2 linked regions of the Oryzias latipes genome follow. The protein of the gene in region 1 interacts with the protein of each later gene in a pairwise test. Links are inferred from orthologs where the notes say so. Each region holds a gene or a part of one and is shown in the gene's direction. Other genes may lie near its edges.

The links.
Region 2: the proteins of mitogen-activated protein kinase 7 (region 1) and ube2c interact in binary tests that used the Homo sapiens proteins (3 or more experiments, as listed by UniProt). The two-hybrid records come from large-scale screens. The link is inferred for Oryzias latipes from reciprocal best matches to the Homo sapiens genes MAPK7 and UBE2C.

Annotation. Positions count from the first base shown.
Region 1 is NC_019877.2:8,015,570-8,019,074, forward strand, and holds the end of mitogen-activated protein kinase 7, read left to right. Parts: coding exon 1-749; intron 750-823; coding exon 824-1,890; intron 1,891-1,970; coding exon 1,971-2,101; intron 2,102-2,410; coding exon 2,411-2,558; 3' UTR 2,559-2,721; downstream 2,722-3,505. Other genes in the region: serine protease 27, read right to left, coding at 3,074-3,328, 3,475-3,505. UniProt on the Homo sapiens protein: Plays a role in various cellular processes such as proliferation, differentiation and cell survival. The upstream activator of MAPK7 is the MAPK kinase MAP2K5.
Region 2 is NC_019863.2:18,098,281-18,102,557, forward strand, and holds the start of ube2c (ubiquitin-conjugating enzyme E2 C), read left to right. Parts: upstream 1-1,418; 5' UTR 1,419-1,525; intron 1,526-2,019; 5' UTR 2,020-2,040; coding exon 2,041-2,147; intron 2,148-2,480; coding exon 2,481-2,508; intron 2,509-3,338; coding exon 3,339-3,425; intron 3,426-4,000; coding exon 4,001-4,205; intron 4,206-4,277. UniProt on the Homo sapiens protein: Accepts ubiquitin from the E1 complex and catalyzes its covalent attachment to other proteins. In vitro catalyzes 'Lys-11'- and 'Lys-48'-linked polyubiquitination.

The DNA of each region.
Region 1 (3,505 bases):
AATCAAAGATGCCATTTTAATGGAAATCCAGGACTTTCATAAAAAGAAACAAAGCTGCCGTCAGAAGCTGCAATTCAAGCCATTGCCGAGAGGGAACAAGGGAGCCGCTGCGCAAAGTAATAACCAGAGTAATGCTCCAACTGCTGACAATCTGACCGAATCCTCACTGCTTCCAATGGTACCAAGAGCACAACAGATACAGCAGCAGCAAAACCATCCAGCAGAAGCAAACCAAGCATTTGCTGATCAGATCAAAGCCTTTGACAAGTCTGCAGCCCTTTTAGATGTCACCAGGACATGCGTGACCCACAATTTATCGCTTCTCAGTAAAACTGAAAGTGGCCCAGTTGACGTGGATATGCCCAGTGCCAACTCTGACAGCGGCCAGCCGGAGACGATAGATTTAACGACCCCAGTGTCTAGTCAGGGTGCTTCATCGGAAGCGATGAGAGACCGTGAAGTTCATGAGTATTTAATGAACACTCAGGCTCAGTCAGCGGCCCAGGCTCCCACCACTGCACCGCCACGGAGGACGGCACCCATACCCGCCTCTGCCCACTCCCTGTCTCTGTCTGTGGCACAGGCCCACTCACTCTCTCAGTCCCTTTCACAGTCACTTGGCAAGAACTCGAGGAGTTCTCAACCTGCAGCAGAGGGAACCAGGAAAGAGGGCGCCATTTCAGAGGACACCAAAAATGCCCTTAAGGCAGTTTTATTAAAGTCTGCCATCAGACAAAAAGCCAGGAGTGGTAAGCTCAATATTTATCATTCCTTGTTTTTTTTGGCTTGCATTTCTGTGCATTCTCTGATCTGTTCTTTGCAGATGGAGGAGCCTCGGCCATCGGTATTGACTGCGGTGCAGGAGGAGGCGCCTCATCCTCCCTGTCCTCTGTTCTAGAGTCCCGTCGGTCTGTCACAGCCCAGGAGCGTCAGCGGGAAAGAGAGGAGAAAAGAAAGAAGAGGCAGGAACGAGCAAGAGAGAGGGAGAAAAAAATGAAAGAAAAGGAAAGACGGGAGGGAAAACAGGGGGACTCTTTGGGTGGGGTGTTGCTGAGTGACAACGACAAGAGCTTGTTGCAGCGCTGGACGAGGATGATGGACAGCCGCTGCGACAAATCTCAAACTCCTAACAACGATGGATGCAAGAACAAGGATTGTAACGAGAGTTCTCACACGGGTGCAGTTACAGAGATCACCGCGGAAACGATGAACAATAAAACCGACGAGGCGAGAACGTTTCAGGCACACAACCAGCTAATCTCTCAAGTAAACCCGAACCAGCATGGCTTGTTTCAGTCGCCCAGCGCTCAACCACCATCATTGCCTTTCTCCATGAACCAGCAGACCCCCTCAGCTGATCTAGTTACTGTGAATGCAGGGATCGACTTAATGGCCATGGCTGGTGGGTTCGTTAAAAACGCCCTGAAGCCTCACCCTGAAAGTGGCGTCCAAAGCAGGTTTGGCTGTTTAGGGAATTGGAGTGGCCAGCAACTGGCGACGAGGCCGCCACACCAACCAAACAGAACGACACAGCCGGCGCCATCCAGCTTCCTGCAGCCCCAAACCAAGGCTGACCCGCAGCCACAGCTGCTCCCTTTAGAGAGTTTTTTGTCAAGAGCGGCAACCCTCAACGCCCAAGAGACCAACGGGAACATGGGCATCGGAGGTCAGAATAACCTCAATACGATGACAGGAAATTCAGGGCAAATAGAGAAGCTATGTTCTACATTAGGAGGGAAACCAACATCAGAGACCAGAAATCCCCTCTGTGGGACAGTAGGGGTCTCCTCTCAGCCTCATCCCAGCCTGGTGTTCACCGATACAGGACAGCAGGGAGCCCCTACTGCTCCTGACATCCACACAGTCACCCTGCAGCTGTCCAAGTCCCAGGTTTGGACTGGGATTCATTTACAGACAAGTCTTAGTTTACCTTTAATGGAAACAAAAGTTTGTGTGTTTTCCTCTGTCAGGTGGAGGACATTTTACCGCCGGTGTTCTCAGTCACCCCTAAAGGCAGCGGTGCTGGGTATGGCGTGGGCTTTGATCTGGATGACCTTCTGAACCAATCTCTGACGGACCTGCAAAACTGTGACCGGGACAGGTGAGATCTGATACTAAAACTTAAGAGTTCAACAGAAACATCAATACTCAACTGGGAATCTACATCATCATCATAATGCAAAATCTTTCACACTTGAGGTCTTTTAGTTCCCTTATATCAAACCAAGTGTCCCTTCTATATGCAATCCAAAATACAAAGAGAGCTGGGTTAAAGTCAAACAGGTTTGACCTTCTAGTCAAAATGTAAAATTCCGGTAGTTACCGACATGCACGCCATGACATGCATTAACCCACGTGCTGCACTTTTACTGAGAGCACACCGTCTTTTTCATTTTCTTTTGTCTTTCAGCTATGACTCAGCCCCCCTCTCCGCCTCCCTCTTATCCGACTGGAGCGAGGTGCACCGCATGACTCCAGCTGACCTGGAGTCGCTGCAGCAGGAGCTACAGCTCGGCTCTCCCATGATCCTCTCTGATGGCATAGCTCCCGACTCCTAAGTTACATTTTAAACATTTGGAAAACGAAATTGCTTTTTTTAGAGAGAGAGAACACAAGACTGATTTCTCTGTAATAAAAGACAAATCTTGGAAATAAATGCATGAATGCTACGTCACTTTAAATAAAAAAAAGGTAAAAGATACCTAAATAAAAGTGTGCACTAAATGCAATTTCCCCTTGATCTCTTACAAAAAAGCCAAAGATATTGTGTATAGTATGATAGAATATACATATACAGGATGGAGTATAAATGATAAAGCTGACTTTTAGGTTAAACAACATTTAATTGAAATGCAAAATGATCACAATTTATGATTTAGTACAAAACTATGAAATCTACTTTTAATCAAAGCTCATCATACAAAGCTGTCATTTAAAAAAACAAAACAAAATCATGATCTCATTTTGTTATGGCTTCTGGTGCACGTCAGATACAAGTAACATAATGTGACTATTAAAGGCCACCGAGGCAGAGATTTAGAGTTACCCTCAGGAATTAAGTTTTGATGGCAAATCATCTTTGAAGTAGAACCTGCAGTGTTAGCACAAAGCTAACCAGCAAAATAATGCTCCCACTCTGGATGTGATGGGCTCCTCCGTAGAGTTGAACCTCTGGTACGTTTTTCTTGATGAAGCTTGAGAAGGTGGTAAGCCTGGCGTACACGCCTGGCTTGTTTTGCTGAGCACAGCCGATCCCAAAGCTCACCACTCCGGCCTGCACCCAGGTCCCATTTGTCATCGGGCAGACCAAAGGCCCCCCTGAGTCACCCTGAGGAGATTACACAAACATTTAGATGCTAAAAAGGGTGCATTTTGGGACAAAATGCTCACAAAAAAAAGAAGAATCTATACAAAACTAAAGAAATTCCAGTTCTGTGATGTAAATAAACATGCAAACAGCTGATCAAATAATACCTGGCAGGAGTCCTTTCCGCCCGTCTGGTAT
Region 2 (4,277 bases), on another chromosome or scaffold:
TTAGGTGGGGTTTGTTCTCTTTATAAATGCATGGGTTTTCTCCAGGCACTCTGGCTTCCTCCCACAGTCTAAAAACATGCTTTGTAGGTCAATTGATTACCAGTATTTTAAATTGTCCCTTAGGTGTGCATGCGAGTGTATGGCTCTACAACAGAATGGGGACCTGTTCAGGGTGTACCCCACCTTTGCCCAATTGTTGCTGGATTGGCTCCAGCAGCCCTGTGACCACGAAAAGGATTCAGTTAGTACAGGAGATAAATGGATAAATGGATCAAAGCCTGAGGGATATGGCTCTAAAATAGCATAATGTAGTCCATGTTAACAGGTAACTGATTGGTCGTTGGCCATATTTCTCTCTACAATACAAGGAAATGATTTGCAGATGAACAATCATATATTTTGTGCGCAGAAACAGCTGCTTCTCAGAGAAAAGCTGTCGCCTAAATGAAGCTGTTACTGAAGCATCTTTCAAATGTCATGTTCAGTTCATGTATCAGTAATGAACTTATTTTCCCAGTTTGGCACCTTCTGTTCTGGTGATCTTAATTATGTTTTGATCACTACGCTTTCTTTTTTTTACTTATGGTGAATTTCTCCTTAGATACAATTGTGCTCATCATGGACGGTTCTGCCATCAGCTGCACGTGGTGGCTACAGATGAAGATGGAGAATAGAGCTGCAGACATGCTGAGGAGGAGGAACGAGGCTTATCCTAGTCCGACTAATGGAGTTACACGAGTGAATTTATGTTTTAGTAATATTAGAAAATGTTCACATCTTTATCATATGTTCATGAGGTTTTTACTGAGTAAAAAGCAAATAATTTATTGGACGAGAGTGCTAAAGCATTCTAGTTTTAAATGTGAATCTCAAATTGGCTCACAGCAGTGTACAGATCTGAGAACAAAATTGGATTCTGTCAGCGGACATAAGTTCTGAATTAGGCCTAAGGGAAGGAAATTTAATATTTTTCATATAACAATATCTGATTTTAACTGGTTTTTGAAAGGAAATAACCGACTAATGCAAAATTCCTTCAGTCATATGACTTAGTATTAAAAGGAACTAATTAGTTTCATGGAAAATGTATAACTAAGGAAATTGGGCAACATTTCTAGTTCTTCCTGAATAAAGACACAAAATCATTGAAAATATATAAATTTGGATTGTTGCACAAGATTAGACATTTCAAATCAAAACGTGTTTTGTTTTTGTTTGTTTGTTTAAATTCCCATTTCAAAACTCATTTTCGTTTCGTTTGAAATTCTCTCTTCTCTTGACGTAAACACTAAACGTCGTACTCAGGGTGTTAATTTCCGGTATATTTCGAACCAATTACAACACGCCTCCTAAAGCATACTCACTCGTGATTGGTTGGCATTTTTCTGTTTGCTTTTGAAAGGCGGACACCGATTGGCTGATGCAATTTAAAAACTCGGGGCGGGTTAGGCTTCCATTAACAGATAGTGAGCGATATCAAAGCTGTTCGGATCTACTCAAATTGGATCTACAGTAAGCCTCGCAGGTAAACAGAACTTCTAGATGTATGTGGAATGTTTATTATTTCCGGGTAATAGTTTTCACGAGTGTAGTCGGTGTACACGGGCTGCAGGGATCGGTGTCACGGCGACAGAAACACTAGGAAAGCCACAGAAACGAGCTGTCCGCGCGGCTGAGAGGCCTCCGTGTTCGCAGCTGCGTTAAATGACCACCTCTGCGCCAACAGCCAAAGCAGAAGCGCAATCCGTTTATGCTGAAGCTTCACGTTCTTCCTCAGAGACACTATGGACCTTATGTCAGCATCTGAAGAACCTCCTCTTCAGCCTGAGCTCCTTTTGAAGAAGCTCCTATTGCCTCTTCTAAAAATAGCCATATTCATCCATAATAGTTGTTTTGGTTCGATGATCAGTCTCCATCAGAGCTCTCATGATGATGGTATCACCATCAGACCAGAAGGTTCCTCATCCTGTTTGTGTCATTGTGTGTGAAGTGGACTGACCTGTTGGTACATGTGTCCAGGAGAGCCCATCATTGGCACACATGGCCTCCCAGAACATGGACCCTGCAGCAGCTGGAGCCTCTGCAGCAGCTGCTCTGAAGGGCAACGAGAGCGAGAACAACATGACCAAAGGCTCGGTGTCCAAGCGGTGAGTGTCAACCGTCATCTGAACGTGAAAATAAACCAGACTAACAAGATCAAGAATGAGCCTGGACTTGAAAAGTTGTTTCTGTCTAAATGGAGATCCAGCAGCTGATGCAATCACAGATCAGTCAGCTTTGGTTTTCCCTGAATGATTCAGTCAAATGCTGATTAATTTAGCGGTTACTCTTTTGCATTGGCCTCTCAGTTTGGTGGTTTTAGTGCTGGTCAAGTTGAAGGTCCACAACGCCACATTTCCTGGCCCACATCAGAGCAGTCCGCTTATCGGCTGTACTATTTCTGATTTCTGAGGAGCTCTGCTTCTGTTGTGTGTTTGCAGGTTGCAGCAGGAGCTGATGACTCTCATGGTGAGTTCAACTTTTTATTTATAAATAGACTTTTATCACTGTTGATTTCAATTTTTTTTAAATCCTATTGTCTGAAATAATAAAAGGATATGCAAAGCTGTTAATTTCAGGGATAGATATTTTTTTTTACACAGATTGATGTTTTTCTTAGAATTTATGGCAAAGAAAACCCCTCTATACATTCACACATTTTGGGACTAATTTAGGAGTTTTGATTAATTATTTAAATAACAAAACAAACATATTTTGATGCATTGCACTCTGTGGCCCTCCCTTTCTGTAGCTGGGTAGCTCAATTTGGTTCGGTTCAGAATTTCATAGGGCCCGTTTTGATCTGTTTTCTGTATTTTTTTTCGGTACAAAAAAGGCAGAAAAAAATTTCTTGCAAAATGCATTTATTGGTTTTATATAACAATAATAAAACTAACCTATGTAGGTGATATGCTACATAAAATAATACAACTATTAACTGCCACTTCGTGTAACCATAAAATGCAAACAAAAATAAACAAACCGAAACGGTAAAAAAGTGGTCCAGACTGAAATTACCGAAACGGTTCAGTCCAACTACGTCTACCGTTACACCCTTACTAGTTTGGCAGTGTGTCTTATCCATAATGGAAACAAAAGTGATGATGAAGCCTTCTGAGACTATTTAAAGGGATAAAATAAATTCATAATCTAAAGCATTCACAAAGAACAATACTTGAAGTCCAACCGAGGCACTGAATCAGTTTGAATCCCTTTACGGTAACTAAAGTCCAGGAAAACGGCAGGGTGAGCGCTCATTTTTTGCAGCTTTTAGTGTAACTTTTGCTCCTTTGCTGCAGATGTCGGGGGATAAAGGCATTTCAGCGTTTCCAGAGTCGGATAACCTCTTCAAATGGGTTGGAACCATTGATGGAGCGCAGGGGACGGTACGTATGGGCGCATACGCTCGTGCCACTGGCTGTCTGTATTCCTCAACTACTAAAAAAAACTGCATAGTGTGGCTGTGGCACCATGTAGTGCCCTGGACCCGTAAAAGAAATTTGGTCTCTATACTCACTTTCTTTTTTTTTTAATGGCAAATATGAAATCACACATTTCCCGAAGTAAAAATGTAATAAATATGGACATTTTACAAAGACTATAAGACTATTAACGACAAGTTTATTTAAAACATTACTTCAAATACATGAAAAATTGTTCAAACACAATACATTGTGGTCTATATTCGCTAGTCTAGTGAGCATTGATGCACAGTGGTTTTTCTTAGACTTATGAGAAATTTTTCGAGCACCAGATTTAAGAATTGTAGAATCGCACAGCTCTACAGAATGGGGATGGCGCTATATAGTCCATCGTGTAGTGAATAGTGAAGCAATCCAGACACAACTGTTGGTGAGGAGAGAGGGGTGCTGCACAATTTGATTGTCACCACATTTGAGGTGACGTGAGGAGATGAGAGCTGCACATTATGCATGAATGTGTGATCCGGTTCTCCTGTCAGGTGTACGAGGGCCTCCGGTACCGGCTGTCCTTCGACTTTCCTGCAGGCTACCCCTACCAGGCTCCTCGTGTGAGATTTGTCACGCCTTGTTTCCACCCCAACGTGGACGATCAGGGTTTCATCTGTCTGGACATCCTGAAAGACAAGTGGTCGGCCTTGTACGATGTGCGCTCCATTCTGCTGTCCATACAGAGCCTGCTTGGAGGTAATCCATGGAGCTGTCTGTTCTCTCCAGAGTCCTGATGTTAACATCTGCTTCAGACCAATTTGTTTGTCT